3 linked regions of the Drosophila melanogaster genome follow. The protein of the gene in region 3 binds, or shares a complex with, the protein of the main gene of each other region. Each region holds a gene or a part of one and is shown on either strand. Other genes may lie near its edges. A codon is read from its position in the direction of its gene.

Region 1 (4,921 bases), 2.6 Mb from region 3:
CTTCTAATGGGTATGCTGGACAGTTCGAGGCACAAAACGGAGGCTTTGCGAGCATCTGCTGGAGCCCTGTGTCAAGATCTTCACCTGAAGTTCGTCAAGCGCTATCAGCATGCGCATCGTGGACTTTGGGTGACCACCACAAAGTGCTCCATGTGTCGCCAAAGGCTGTACGATCACAGCCAGGTGCTAATATTTGGCGGATGTGGGCATGGCATACACGAGCAGTGCATGGAGGAGTCGGAGACTCAGTTTGAAGAATGTCCACGGTGCTTTACGGCCATTCCAGATCAAAGTATTGGTTTGCCGCGGCCAAATAAAAATCTAATCAGCATTTCCTCGTCCTTGGAAATGGGTGCCTTGCAACTGAAGGCACCGCCCAGGCGATTTATATAGTTTCATCGTCCTTTTTGTATATTCCATTTATTCCTCTATGTATTTATTGTACAACTATGTGTATTGTATGTGTAAGTAAAAAAATTGCATGAAAAATCCGTATTTTTATGGTTCTTGTTTGAGTCATTCCTTTACTTTCGTATAAAATGATCATCATTTCAATTGGATATATTTACAATTCAATACAAAAGTATGTTTATACTTCAGTATGTTTATACTTTCTAAAGCACACTTTAAATTATATTAATCACAAATTGCCATTTTTCCTTTAGCTTACAGGCTGTCTGGTAGGATTATCAGCAGGAAAAGTGTTATTATAATGCTGTATGAATTCCGTGCATTGTTCAGCTGTTAAATAAGAAATTCAAAGGTTTAAAAAGTGATGCCGCAATTCAAGATTACAAATTAGCTTACCCTTGGGAAAAGATAGGGTTTCATAAAGTTTCAGGTTTCTCATTTGGAAAAAGCGGTATACGCTGTGGAATATTAGATCATCCTTTGTCTTATGAGCCGCCTCCAGAAACTTGCGAGCTGGCACTTTTTCCAGACCCATTGAATTCTTAGCCAGCCTTAAGGCATCAATAACTTTGCCTTGACCCAGCATTACTTCAATGATGATCTAAAAAATATTGTTAGTTCATACATCTTAGTAAAAATATCTAATTATAGTTATATCCACCTCATGTGCTTCAATCCTGCCCAGCATATCGATGGCCACCTGGGATATCGCCGTATCCACATTTGAATGCGACAACAAAAAGCAAGCCACCGACTTGGATTCCAGCAGCATTGAATAGCTGACCAAGCGTCGCAAGGTGTCGAAGCTGCGATTGGAGATCAGCTCGCTGATGATCATCTTGCTCAGCTCCTCCTGGGCGGCAATGTTGAACTTGTTCAGGGATTGCAGGTAGAGCATCAATATGGATTCCGTGTACGGGCGACGAGCTATGCGCTGAAAGATTTGCACCATATCCAGTTGCTCAATGAGCACAATGGGCGGTGTGCTCTGTTTCAGGGTAGTAGTTTTTACGTTCGACGGTTGAGCGGTTTGATTTTGCAGCTCCAACTGGACCCAAGACCTAAAGTATACCATGCATAATGTAATAAATATATATTGATGAAAATAACGTCTTTAACTTACGCATAGATCTTGTTAATCCGACTGAAGATGGTCTCTAGGACTGGCAATAGAGTTCCCTTATACTGATCATCTACCAATTGTCCAATGACTTTTAATAGCATCTGCTTGCCATTGCTGCGTTGCAGCAGGAATTCTGTAAGTCGAATGCGATCCGAAATCAGTTGGCACAATGGTTCAATGCAGAGGTTCAAAAACCACATGCAACCCAACTTGGCATCGATTACAATATTTGGCTGGAACAGTACCCAGTGCGTGGAATCTGCATGGGTATAAGTGTCAAATAAAGTAACTTTTTGGATATTTAAAGAACTTACACAACTCGCACTGCAAGATTTGTCCATCAGGCGAAAGTGAGGGCAGTTTCAGGCCAAACGGTTTGATGGAGCGCCCTGGAGTTATGGGTGTATGATAGGTTATTTCATTGATCACCTCTCCGGGCAGGGAGATGTCGAATAGCAGCGAAGTGCCCGAAGCTTGATGGTGCACCACAATCAGATTATCCACCGTGTTGATGGCGAAGCGACCAAGCAGACTTAAGCGGAGCACATGGCACTTGCGTGGAGCCAAGCCCGGTCCATTGAGCAAGTGCACCTCGACTTCCATCAGTCCGGTGGTGCTATTTGACTGGAGGATAAGCACAGCCAGCACGCCGTAAACTTGGCCTAAGGTGACCTTGCTCTCCTGGACATCGCGACTTGGATTGCCCACTGAAAGGAAAGATTAAAACGCTTTTAAAGGATTTTAACCCAAAAGGATTACTTACAGTCCACTTTGGGCAGCTTGGTGATTACTTTCTGCTTGACCAGCACCGGAATCAGGGAGTTTCCTTCGCTGGTGCACAGTAGAGCCACATTGGCATCGCAGCACCAGGCGAACCACTTGATGCCAATGCTCAGGGATTTCACAGAGCGCACCTGTCGCTTCTCAGGAACTACGGTGTAGACCTCCACGCCGGTATTCGAAATCAGGGCCACCTCTCGATTGTGGACCCAAACAAAGCCATGGATCAGAGTCTTCACCTGGTGGGTAATGATGTCCTGCAGCAGAGGCTGATCTCCCTGAAAACATATGAACTCCACGGAATTCTCCTTTCGCTGAACGGCCAAGATTTGGTTGTCCGGCGAGAACTTAATGGACCTTATGGCACCGCCACGGTCGCTCATGCAAAAGGAGATGACGACATCGTCGGGAGATCCAGGACCTTTGACCACCACACCAGTAGCTCCTCCAGACCGAACAGCAAATATCTTTACAGATATAGATTTTTAGCCATCATCAACATGGATTTTTAACATGTTTTAACTATACCTGCTTGTTGGAGTCATCGAAAAACACATTGGTTAGTTGGCTGACAGCATCAAATCGTATGGGATTTGGGGTTAGCTCAATGTAGTGGATTCCATTGGAATTATCCATTGTTGTGCTGGAAAAAAATAAATAACAAACTGCAACAGCACAACTTTTTATACACCCCCCATTAGAGATGTGACTTTAGCACAGGGTGCTAGAGATGTGCCACGAGTAACAAGCTGTTTTAAGTCACGATTAATTTCATTTATTGTACGTGCAAGGATTAAAAATATAAATGTATTTAACATTATTTGTGGTATGCTTACAGTAGATATTTTTAAACATTTATACTATATTTATTTAACCCCTTCCAACTCACGCTATTATTTGCCATCACTATTGCTATCAGCGGTATTTTTGCCAGCCCTATCAGCTGTTTAGTATACAAACAACAGCGATAAGAAAAAACGGCAGACAGGACACAGAAAAATATTTTTTCTTGTGAATTTAAAAAAAGGTCTCAATAACTTTGATTCAACCACTTAATGGGACACCTGGACAAATGCCGCGTATGCTCCAGCGATGTGGCTAGAGACGACGAGGCCTACAATTTGCTGCACCATCCATATCTCGCCGTCAAATTTTCGGAGTGCACAAATTTGGTGGTGGATCCTGATGACCAGGATATTTTGCCCAGCGAAATTTGCTCGGAGTGCTACGAGCTTCTGGAGAAGTTCCACTCCTTCCGAGCACTTTGCATTATAGCCGACAATAAGTGGCGTTCTAAAAGTCTGGTAACTTGGAAGAAAATAGATCGCAGGAAACCTGTTTACGAGGTCGATGAAGATGAGGAAGAGGAGCTGGAGCTGGAAGAACTTCTATTGGAGCCGCCGGAGATGATTATATGTGATACCAATTTGAGTGCACAAAATACCCCAATAGTCGCTGAACAGGCACCGCCAACCTTGGTATTCCATACCTTCACCGAAAATGTCCAGCAACCCCCGGAAACGGAAAAGAAAGCTTTGGAAGTGAGTTTGGGTTTAAGGTTTAAACAGGAGTGTAAGTTAAGTTGTATTCAATGATTTCAGGAGCCGCCATTGACCACATACAAGTGCGACTTGTGCGCCGACGAGTTTCGAGAGGAGAAACGCTTGATTCTGCACAAGAAGGAACACCAGGGACACATGCTGTATCATTGCACTGAGCCCGGATGCGAGGAAGCTTTCAACCGATTCGAGAACCTCAGGCAGCACGAGCTAGAGCACTCGGAAGTGGGCATGCGGTTTGTCTGCGAGGAGGAGGGCTGCAACAGGATGTACCGGCACAAGGCCTCGCTGAAATACCACCAAAGCAAGGCTCACGACATTGGCAAGCCTTTGAAGACCCATATGTGCGAGTTCTGTGGTCGGGTGTTCAAGACTGGCTCTGCCCTAAGCCAGCATCGGTTCACACACGGTGACCAGCTGGTATTGCCATATGCCTGCGAACTGCCGGAATGTTCTATGCGATTCTATAGCACGGAGAAACTCAAGATCCACATGATGCGTCACCAGGGCATAAAGAACTTTAGTTGCCCCTACTGTGGTCTCAAGAAGACGACCAAAAACGAACTGCGACTGCATATCAACTATCATACTCTGGAAAGGACCTGGTCCTGCAAGGATTGCCCCAAAGTTTGCAACAGCTCAACGAGTCTTAAGAAACATATCCGCGCAATCCACGAGAAGGCACGAGATTATGCCTGCAGCTATTGCGAAAAGAAATTTGCCACCACCGACACGCGAAAATATCACGAAATGACCCACACTGGCGAAAAGAACTTTGAGTGTCACGTTTGCGGCAAGAAATTTATACAACCCTCTGCCTTGCGCACCCATCGCAAGGTCCACGAATCGGGGGATAATCAGCAGACCGCTTGTGCTCTGCTGCAACTGACTAGCATGGGTTAAAGAAGTTAACATATTTCTATTTTAGGTTCAGTGGAAAGTACAACATTCATATCGTATTTTACTTGACTCACAACTTAATTAATATTTACATACCTCCTTTATTGAGGGATTTATTACGATAACGAATTAGAAGAGCAGGGAAGAG
Region 2 (4,212 bases), on a different chromosome or scaffold from region 3:
CGAGCATTTAACACCCAAAAAATGCGTGGCGCATGTTGAAAAGCTGCTCCGTTTCGAGCAACTTAAATAGGTGGAAACAAAAAACGCCGCGTTTGCATCGTAATTTTCCATTTTATGCTGGGCATTTTCTATCTAGCACCACGCAATTTTCCACATTTTTCACATACTCATCGGTTTTAGCAATTATTTTGTAATTCTTTTCGGTCAGGCACTGGTTCAACTTTGGATTTCCGGTGGCAGCGCCCACAATCGAAGCGTGTGCGTTCGCGTTTGTGTCCTGTACTCAATTGTGTTCTCCGAGCGGTCGGCCAGCACCAGTCACATCGTAATCCTTGCGATTGGGTCGCCGATGCGAGTGCGCGCGTTAAGTTGTTGATTCCGCAAAAGCTCTCTCTGCGATTCCTTTCGCTCTCGAAAGTCCATCCCCGAAGATAACCGGTTTGGTTTGAGTCCGAACTTAAAGGATATGCTGCGCTAGCGGTGACTCGAACCTTTCGACAGAACTCAGTTTTCTATAGATCCACTAAGAGATAAACTATCTATAAAGTTTTAGAATTTACTTAAAGTTTTAAATTACAAATGTACATGCGTGATTCTGGTATACTAGGTTCAGTTAAACAAACGCCGTCACAACTGCAGCACAACAACTTTGTCCTGGTTCGATTGGCAGAGGAGCAATAAAAAAATAGTCATATATCTCACAATGCCCTAGCGAAGCGCGCTAAAGCTTAGAATGTGGCATGGTTTCGTATAAAGTACACGTCGTACTCCTTCTCGATCCACTTGATCAGCTTGTCCACGTACTTGATCACAGTGGCTTTGTCCACAACCGGCTCGAATATGGCGTACAGTTCGTAGGTTCCGGTTGCCCAGGCCAGGACCACCTCGCGCTCCTTCATCTCGTAGATAAGCTTCAGCGGGCGACTACTGTTGTGGATGCGATGCAGCAAGTCGCAGTAGATGGCCTCCAGGCGCTCCAGCTCCGTCAGAGATTTGTACGGATGCCTGAGCATGGGACACAGCAGTTGAGCTGTGCTCTTGGGCTTGTAAAGAAAGTGCCGCAGCTCGGGGATTCCCACAACCTGTTGGTAGAGTTTCGCATTGAACGGCTGCTGCAGCTCCTCGTTGATGGCTTCCAAGCAGTGGCTTTTGCGTAGCTTCTCCGTGATCTTTGCCTTGGCCTCTGCCAGCGTGAAAAAGGCATCTCTGTCCACGGACAGCAGGAGCAAACAGGCCTGGCAATCATCCGCCAGGTACGAGACATGCGCATGCAGATACCCATTCATGTCGAACTTGGGCAGGCAAATTGGTGACCAGTTCTCGGAGCTCTTGAAGGACTCGGAGCACTCTACCAGGTTGAAGATCAGACGCAAATCAGCCGGATGGATGGAGTACTTCTTCATGCGCACCAATGCTATCAGTTTGTTATTGGCAATTAGCACGGCAAACACCAGGTTCTTGATCTTGGAGCAGTTGCTCTGAATGGCGCTGGTGATTTGCGATCGTATCGTTGTGGGCAATGGGAAGACGCGAATTGAGTTGGTCAAAAATGTGAAGATGTTGTTGGACACTAAAAGAAGTCGTTGAGAAATTAAGCAATTTGGATATGCTTAGATATCCTTACCCTTGGCACTACTACTGTCGTTCGCCAACAGATTGTAGAACAATCGTTCGCTGCCGGAGAGCAGTCTCCTCAGATCAAAGTTCTTGCGCCTCTCAAAGATTTTCGTCATGTGTGAATACGTCAGAATGGACAATATTTGATTGTAGACATCCCTGGTAAAGAATGGGAAGTTCCCATTAGTTAGCATTGCTATCAGGTGCGTTATAATTGACTCACCCCAGTTGAAGCTGCAGCTGCTGCACACTCATGTTGCTCCTGCTGGCAGCCACCAGGATGAGCGAGCTGCGTTGCATGAAAGCGAACTTAATGCCGCCCGCATGAATGGAGGTAATAGCATCCTGGCCCATTTGGACGAAGCTTACCAGTGCCTGAATGACACCGAAAAGCGTGGCCAGTTTATCCTCATTGCCGTGTAGCGAGAAGATTGGCTTTCCCGCCTCGCTTAGTATGAAGATGTGTTTCTTTTGGCCCTGCCACAGACTGTCGTGCTGGTAATCGTATTCCTCCTCCAGTCCCCCGCCAATGGAGTCCTCTGTTTTGGCGCTGGTCGAGGTGCTCAATGCCAGAGACTCCACAGAGGCAGCCAGTCCCTTGTTCTCCTGCCCCGGCTCCGGACTGAGGGCACTGTTATCTCGCATGGTGCCCAGGCCATCTCTTAGCTCAGAGATAATACTATGGTTTTGTTGCTCGGCCTCCTGGTCGGGATCCGCCTCTTGATAGAGATTTGGGGACTCCGGATCGCCCTCTGCGTCTAGATACTCGCAGGTGGAGTTCGTGTCCGACCTGACTGACGTCTGCTCTACTTCCATTTCGAATTCGTTTAACTATTTCAGTCGCTGGAACATTGCAGTTTGCCAATATTTAGCAATATCATAAATTTACAACTAAATCATTACAGCTGGAATGGATTTCCCAACACTGTCCGAAGCAGAAGGTGAAATAAAGGGTGTTCCGGAAAACACACCATAAGATAGGCTTATTCATTCTTAAATGTTATGAAAAATAAGTTAATTTGATATATGGATTTTGAATTACTTTATCTTAATAATTATAATTAAATTTTTATATCTGTTATTTTGTTTTTGTTTTAAGACCTCTTATAGAAACACTTCTATCCAACACTACCCACCAGCTGTTTACCAAAATCGACGGAAAAGAAGAAGAACATAGGTTATGAAAACACGAGCCGCTCCAAAATGTTGAGAAAATCGTTTGCCAACCGTAAGTAATCAATTAAAACATCAAGGAAACCAAATTATACATGCTTTCCCTTGGTAGTACCCCGCTTTGGTCAGATGTGCGGTCTGCCACGACGCCTGCAGAGCACACAGCCGGAGCAATCGGTGGAAACGGAACCGGAGGACATCGCCCTGGTGGAACAGCGGATTCTGAAGCATCCGGACTACTTCCAAGTGCACAACCTGTTCACCGTGCGCGACCTCTTCAATGCCCGAGTGCACTATGGCCACAAGGAGGGCTCCCTGGACGACCGAATGCGTCCGTACTTGTTCGGCAGTCGATTAGGTCATCTGATCTTCGATCTGGACAAGACGGCATCACATCTGCGCGATGCCCTCAACTTTGCCGCACACATTGCCTTCCGAGATGGCATCATTCTGTTCTTCAACCGCAACGCCATGAACTCACATCTCGTGGAGCGAAAGGCCCAGGAGGCCGGTGAATTCTCGCACACTCGCTTTTGGCGCGGCGGCATCTTTACCAATGCCAATGTGCAATTCGATGCGGTCACCAGGCTGCCCGATCTTTGCATTTTCCTCAACACTCAAAACAACGTTATGGCTCAGCACACGGCGGTTCGGGACGCCGCCAAAATGGCCATACCAACGATTGGCATAGTGGACAGCAATTGCAATCCCAACCTGATCACCTATCCGGTGCCCGGCAACGATGACTCGCCGGCCGCAGTGGAGCTCTATTGCAACCTCTTCAAGGAAGCCATACTGCGTGGCAAGCGGGAACGACGCCAACTCCTTGGCCTTCCGCCTCTGGACGAATCCCAGCCGCGGCGCAGTCGCAAAACTAAGTAATAGCCAAGTAGTAGTGTCAAGTTGATTTTGTTACATTTATCTTAATACAAATGCCAATGGCCGTCAATCCACGATGAAGAAGAAATTGCTAAATATGGTTGCAAAATTGCAGAACTTTGTGCATGTGCCATGCTATTTGATAGTGTTTAAGAAAACCCACGACCTGGGTTAGTTTCGGATAGCTATTCTAGGGCGGCAGCAGAGTGGCACCCTTGACAAAGTTGTTGCTGTAGTGGCTGAAATACGAGGGATTGGAGTTGGACCCCGTGTTGTTGGAACTTCCAGAGGGCCAGTAGTTGGTAATCTGTGGTGGGGTGTCAGGTGGCGGCGGAGGCGGCGCTGAGGTACCAATGATGGAGAGATCCGTACCGCCTTTGATGGCACGGCCGGGACCGAAGAACGTATCCATTTGCTGCTTCTTGAAATCATGCATCGACGCAAAACCATTCGGCGGCCTCTCCTTGGACATGTCCCACGAGCCGATGCTGGATGACTTGCGCACGAACACTTGGCCCTTTTCATTCTTGTCCTGCTCCACCC
Region 3 (4,067 bases):
TGTGTCAATGGCGCGCATGTGGCAATTTACAACACTGAAACCGGGCTGCCAGGCTACCGATTTGGTATCTAAATGGATCTAGTCCGGTCACACTGGTGGGTGTGGGTGCGAAAGATAAATAAATAAATATGTTGAAAATGGACAGGGAAAAGTTGATTGTGCCCAATCAAATTGGCTATCTGATACTAAAGGAAGATGGAGCAGTTCTGGAGTCCGGCGGAGATCTGAAGAACGATGAGCGCAGTGCAAATGTGATAATGGGATTACTAAATCTCACAGAGACGTGCGTTTTTAAACAAAGGATGAAGGAATTTTGTAATAATTACGCCTATATTGTAGCATCGACGAGTCCTTCATGCCGAGCAGCAGCTGCGAGAGGATCACCATCGATTACGAGCATCACTACTACAGCATCTGCATGTCCAACCGTAGAATATACATCATTAAGATCAGCAAATCGCAGAATGGCGTCACCACGACCACGAGCTCCTCCTCGTCGAACAGCGTGTATAACGATGCCAGCGATTCCGGGGCAGTGCTGGCTTGAAATCCGTCGTCGGATGTCCGACCCACTTGCAGATTCTGTTGGCAAGCAACCGGACAAAGACCCCACAATTGGCGCACTCCCATTATTTACCTAATCCTCCTCTTTATTTGTCAAAAAATACATCATCTGTGAGCTCTTGCTCGAAAATGCGCCTCGCTTCCTGGGTGACGTCCAGCAAGGTGGCCTTGCTATTGCACAGGATCACATAGTACTGCCTGTAGTTACAGCGCCGCTTCACAATCCAATAGTCATTGGTGGTCTTGACCTGAACTTCCTCGGCAGGAGCACTCTCCATTTCCGCCTTGCCACTGCCATTGGCCAAGTCCGCAATGATACTAAGCACATTGCGGGGCAGCCCTTGGGGCAGGTGCCTCTGAAAGTTCGTGTGGTGCTGCAGGCTTTGTTCGTTAATGAACAAGTACTTCGGCGCCGTTTCGCTGTTCCCGCTGGAGTTGTCCTGGCCTGCAGCACCCACCGCCTCCTTTGTCAACTCGCTGGATATGTCCCGGGCCAACGAAGTCAGTTGGGGAGCCATGTAGGCATGGAGATCGTCGTAGAGATCTTGTTTCGGCGCAACCTGGTCAGCTGACAAATGTGGAATGTTTCAAGTTGATTATTTTGGCTATTTAGTTCTAATCCTTAACATACCATTCAGAAACAGACACAGAGTTATGTGCAAAGCGCGGTAGATGAGCAAGTAGTAGGGTTTGGCCTCCTTGTCCAGTGTCACATAGACCTTCATTGGATGATCTTCCTCATTCACAGCGTCATGTTCATCTCCTGCGACCTTCTGACGACTTCTTACGAATCCGCCCACCTGGCATTCACTTATGCTTCGCTTTAGTGAAGGAGAAACTGCAATGGTGGAACTGCTGGCCTCGACTTTCAGCACGTGTTGCACGACATACGAGTGCACGCAGTGCAGATCCTCCGGGCTAAGTTTTCCGCCACAAAGGACCTGCTCCTGGTAGAGCATTATGCTCTCCTTGATGTCGGGGAAGGTCTCGCACAGGGTGCCAAAGTTTTGGGCCCGCAAGAAGAGCGTTTTATCCAATGGCAGATACTGAATGGAATGCAGCATATCGATGATATCACATTGCGCGGGATCCCTCAGGTTGGTCAGATGCTGATCATAGAACTGGAGTAGCTTCTGGCAGAGCAGTTCCCTACGCTTATCCGGATTAGGTTCTTCACTTCCGCAGGAGGAGAAACATCCGTTTTGAAAGCGAAACATTTGATAGCATTGTCTAAGTATTGCTCTATAAATCCTGTCGGAGATCTCGGCACCCCGATAATCGGCCACCTCCACGCCCTCCTTTAAGCGCACCTCCTTGGGAACATTCAGGACCAGTACTAACCAATACCCTGGCTCGGGTTGGTAGAAGAGTTGTGTGGTTTTCTGGGTATGCAAGGCCTGGCAATCATCTTCAGATGTAAAAGTTCTGCAAGTACAGCAAACTCTGTATTATTACCCACTTCCCTCTATGTAAAAAGTTCCATAAATACCCAGTGAACCTTATGATGGCCTCACTTAGTCCCACATCTTTGATTTTCGTATTTAATTCAATGTCATTTGGATGGTAAAACAAAACCTTCTTGTGTTCCTGAAAAAAATTACTCATTAGGGGCGTTTCTTAGCCTTAAAATTGATTTGCCAACCTCGCCTTCAACTTGGCCAAAAGTCGAGTTAAAAATGTAAAAGCTGCGTAACGTAATTTCTACGCGTTGCAATAATTTAGCCATTTCTTTCCGCACAGAATTAAAAGTATTTATTTTGGCCAAAGGTAAATAATGAAAAGGTACTAACGCGTCCGTGTTTGCCAACCAGGGTTACATTTTACCAAATGTAGTGTGCTAGTATATACCAAACGTTTCCAGTACCAAATTAAAAAAAATACCACACAATTAATAAGCGAATTTAAAGCTTTTTCATTTATTTTGGAATTTAATAGATTTAATAAAATTTATGTCATGGCGTTTACTGAAATTTAGAATTTTTCTGATGTCTTCCCTTTTGACAATGCAGAAAGGAAAGTGGCCATCCATAATCTCCTCATATTTATTTAGAGTGAAGTGCGTGCTAAATTGTGTTTATTTGGAAATGTATTTAGTTTAAGCCTGGATTCCTCCACGGAGACGGAGCACCAAGTGAAGGGTCGATTCCTTCTGGATGTTGTAATCGGACAGGGTGCGTCCATCCTCAAGCTGCTTGCCGGCGAAGATCAGACGCTGCTGATCTGGGGGAATTCCCTCCTTGTCTTGGATCTTAGCCTTAACATTCTCAATGGTGTCCGAGGGCTCTACCTCGAGGGTGATGGTCTTTCCGGTCAAAGTCTTCACGAAGATCTGCATACCACCACGGAGACGAAGGACCAAGTGAAGGGTGGACTCCTTCTGGATGTTGTAATCGGACAGGGTGCGTCCATCCTCAAGCTGCTTGCCGGCGAAGATCAGACGCTGCTGATCTGGGGGAATTCCCTCCTTGTCTTGGATCTTAGCCTTAACATTCTCAATGGTGTCCGAAGGCTCTACCTCGAGGGTGATGGTCTTTCCGGTCAAAGTCTTCACGAAGATCTGCATACCACCACGGAGACGAAGGACCAAGTGAAGGGTGGACTCCTTCTGGATGTTGTAATCGGACAGGGTGCGTCCATCCTCAAGCTGCTTGCCGGCGAAGATCAGACGCTGCTGATCTGGGGGAATTCCCTCCTTGTCTTGGATCTTAGCCTTAACATTCTCAATTGTGTCCGATGGCTCTACCTCGAGGGTGATGGTCTTTCCGGTCAAAGTCTTCACGAAGATCTGCATACCACCACGAAGACGAAGGACCAAGTGAAGGGTGGACTCCTTCTGGATGTTGTAATCGGACAGGGTGCGTCCATCCTCAAGCTGCTTGCCGGCGAAGATCAGACGCTGCTGATCTGGGGGAATTCCCTCCTTGTCTTGGATCTTAGCCTTAACATTCTCAATGGTGTCCGAAGGCTCTACCTCGAGGGTGATGGTCTTTCCGGTCAAAGTCTTCACGAAGATCTGCATACCACCACGGAGACGAAGGACCAAGTGAAGGGTGGACTCCTTCTGGATGTTGTAATCGGACAGGGTGCGTCCATCCTCAAGCTGCTTGCCGGCGAAGATCAGACGCTGCTGATCTGGGGGGATTCCCTCCTTATCCTGAATCTTGGCCTTCACATTCTCAATGGTGTCCGATGGCTCTACCTCGAGGGTGATGGTCTTTCCGGTCAAAGTCTTCACGAAGATCTGCATACCACCACGGAGACGAAGGACCAAGTGAAGGGTGGACTCCTTCTGGATGTTGTAATCGGACAGGGTGCGTCCATCCTCAAGCTGCTTGCCGGCGAAGATCAGACGCTGCTGATCTGGGGGAATTCCCTCCTTGTCTTGGATCTTAGCCTTAACATTCTCAATTGTGTCCGATGGCTCTACCTCGAGGGTGATGGTCTTTCCGGTCAAAGTCTTCACGAAGATCTGCATACCACCACGAAGACGAAGGACCAAGTGA

Evidence for each region.
Region 1: the proteins of Ccz1 (region 3) and Bulli are in contact, whole or in part, in a cryo-EM structure (PDB 8JBE), measured with the Drosophila melanogaster proteins. Residues at the interface, in NP_647835.1 of Drosophila melanogaster: Tyr188 (codon at 1,610), Leu189 (codon at 1,607), Pro190 (codon at 1,604), Leu191 (codon at 1,601), Asp192 (codon at 1,598), Lys193 (codon at 1,595), Thr194 (codon at 1,592), Phe196 (codon at 1,586), Leu197 (codon at 1,583), Arg198 (codon at 1,580), Gln200 (codon at 1,574), Asn201 (codon at 1,571), Glu207 (codon at 1,553), Val223 (codon at 1,505), Leu224 (codon at 1,502), Cys225 (codon at 1,499), Gly226 (codon at 1,496), Lys228 (codon at 1,490), Tyr342 (codon at 1,085), Asn385 (codon at 956), Gln387 (codon at 950), Ser388 (codon at 947), Pro427 (codon at 830), Ala428 (codon at 827), Asn447 (codon at 770), Tyr448 (codon at 767), Arg449 (codon at 764), Asp479 (codon at 674), Phe483 (codon at 662), Lys485 (codon at 656); in NP_648047.2 of Drosophila melanogaster: Tyr395 (codon at 1,596), Gly397 (codon at 1,590), Phe407 (codon at 1,560), Tyr464 (codon at 1,327), Ser467 (codon at 1,318), Met470 (codon at 1,309), Leu471 (codon at 1,306), Gln474 (codon at 1,297), Asn477 (codon at 1,288), Asn498 (codon at 1,225), Arg499 (codon at 1,222), Asp502 (codon at 1,213), Thr503 (codon at 1,210), Arg505 (codon at 1,204), Arg506 (codon at 1,201), Leu507 (codon at 1,198), Tyr510 (codon at 1,189), Met512 (codon at 1,183), Asp530 (codon at 1,129), Thr531 (codon at 1,126), Ala532 (codon at 1,123), Gln535 (codon at 1,114), Ile538 (codon at 1,105), Asp539 (codon at 1,102), Arg543 (codon at 1,090), His547 (codon at 1,078), Ile550 (codon at 1,009), Lys559 (codon at 982), Asp562 (codon at 973), Leu566 (codon at 961).
Region 2: the proteins of Ccz1 (region 3) and Mon1 are in contact, whole or in part, in a cryo-EM structure (PDB 8JBE), measured with the Drosophila melanogaster proteins. Residues at the interface, in NP_647835.1 of Drosophila melanogaster: Lys48 (codon at 2,094), Gly51 (codon at 2,085), Leu52 (codon at 2,082), Ile56 (codon at 2,070), Phe59 (codon at 2,061), Thr60 (codon at 2,058), Thr62 (codon at 1,988), Phe63 (codon at 1,985), Thr64 (codon at 1,982), Asp68 (codon at 1,970), Cys69 (codon at 1,967), Gln70 (codon at 1,964), Ala71 (codon at 1,961), Leu72 (codon at 1,958), His73 (codon at 1,955), Thr74 (codon at 1,952), Gln75 (codon at 1,949), Lys76 (codon at 1,946), Thr77 (codon at 1,943), Ala114 (codon at 1,832), Glu115 (codon at 1,829), Ala412 (codon at 875), Asp413 (codon at 872), Asn416 (codon at 863), Pro427 (codon at 830), Ala428 (codon at 827), Glu429 (codon at 824), Glu430 (codon at 821), Val431 (codon at 818), Gln432 (codon at 815); in NP_608868.1 of Drosophila melanogaster: Trp112 (codon at 2,100), Gln113 (codon at 2,097), Phe120 (codon at 2,076), Leu142 (codon at 2,010), Val145 (codon at 2,001), Ile146 (codon at 1,998), Leu149 (codon at 1,989), Phe152 (codon at 1,980), Val153 (codon at 1,977), Gln157 (codon at 1,965), Asp158 (codon at 1,962), Ala159 (codon at 1,959), Ile160 (codon at 1,956), Thr161 (codon at 1,953), Ser162 (codon at 1,950), Ile163 (codon at 1,947), His164 (codon at 1,944), Ala165 (codon at 1,941), Gly166 (codon at 1,938), Ile168 (codon at 1,932), Phe170 (codon at 1,926), Phe172 (codon at 1,920), Arg185 (codon at 1,881), Arg459 (codon at 941), Ser464 (codon at 926), Arg465 (codon at 923), Pro466 (codon at 920), Leu467 (codon at 917), Lys468 (codon at 914), Leu469 (codon at 911).

Annotation. Positions count from the first base shown.
Region 1 is NT_037436.4:6,486,790-6,491,710, reverse strand, and holds Bulli (bulli), read right to left. Parts: upstream 3,031-4,921; 5' UTR 2,951-3,030; coding exon 2,843-2,950; intron 2,782-2,842; coding exon 2,298-2,781; intron 2,242-2,297; coding exon 1,849-2,241; intron 1,794-1,848; coding exon 1,535-1,793; intron 1,473-1,534; coding exon 1,073-1,472; intron 1,013-1,072; coding exon 808-1,012; intron 742-807; coding exon 662-741; 3' UTR 501-661; downstream 1-500. Other genes in the region: Vps8 (vacuolar protein sorting 8), read left to right, coding at 1-393; CG10147 (uncharacterized protein), read left to right, coding at 3,370-3,855, 3,916-4,776. UniProt on the Drosophila melanogaster protein: Positive regulator of the Rab7 guanyl-nucleotide exchange activity of the Mon1-Ccz1 complex, possibly by enhancing its endosomal membrane association.
Region 2 is NT_033779.5:4,848,972-4,853,183, reverse strand, and holds Mon1 (monensin sensitivity 1), read right to left. Parts: upstream 2,544-4,212; 5' UTR 2,434-2,543; coding exon 1,841-2,433; intron 1,777-1,840; coding exon 1,625-1,776; intron 1,571-1,624; coding exon 729-1,570; 3' UTR 544-728; downstream 1-543. Other genes in the region: mRpS2 (mitochondrial ribosomal protein S2), read left to right, coding at 2,821-2,845, 2,903-3,672; CG11927 (uncharacterized protein), read right to left, coding at 3,860-4,212. UniProt on the Drosophila melanogaster protein: Part of the Mon1-Ccz1 guanyl-nucleotide exchange factor complex specific for Rab7 that promotes the exchange of GDP to GTP, converting Rab7 from an inactive GDP-bound form into an active GTP-bound form.
Region 3 is NT_037436.4:3,896,809-3,900,875, forward strand, and holds Ccz1 (Caffeine, calcium, zinc sensitivity 1), read right to left. Parts: upstream 2,349-4,067; 5' UTR 2,291-2,348; coding exon 2,207-2,290; intron 2,152-2,206; coding exon 2,054-2,151; intron 1,990-2,053; coding exon 1,196-1,989; intron 1,133-1,195; coding exon 651-1,132; downstream 1-650. Other genes in the region: Lamtor4 (late endosomal/lysosomal adaptor, MAPK and MTOR activator 4), read left to right, coding at 129-283, 340-547; Ubi-p63E (Ubiquitin-63E), read right to left, coding at 2,660-4,067. UniProt on the Drosophila melanogaster protein: Part of the Mon1-Ccz1 guanyl-nucleotide exchange factor complex specific for Rab7 that promotes the exchange of GDP to GTP, converting Rab7 from an inactive GDP-bound form into an active GTP-bound form.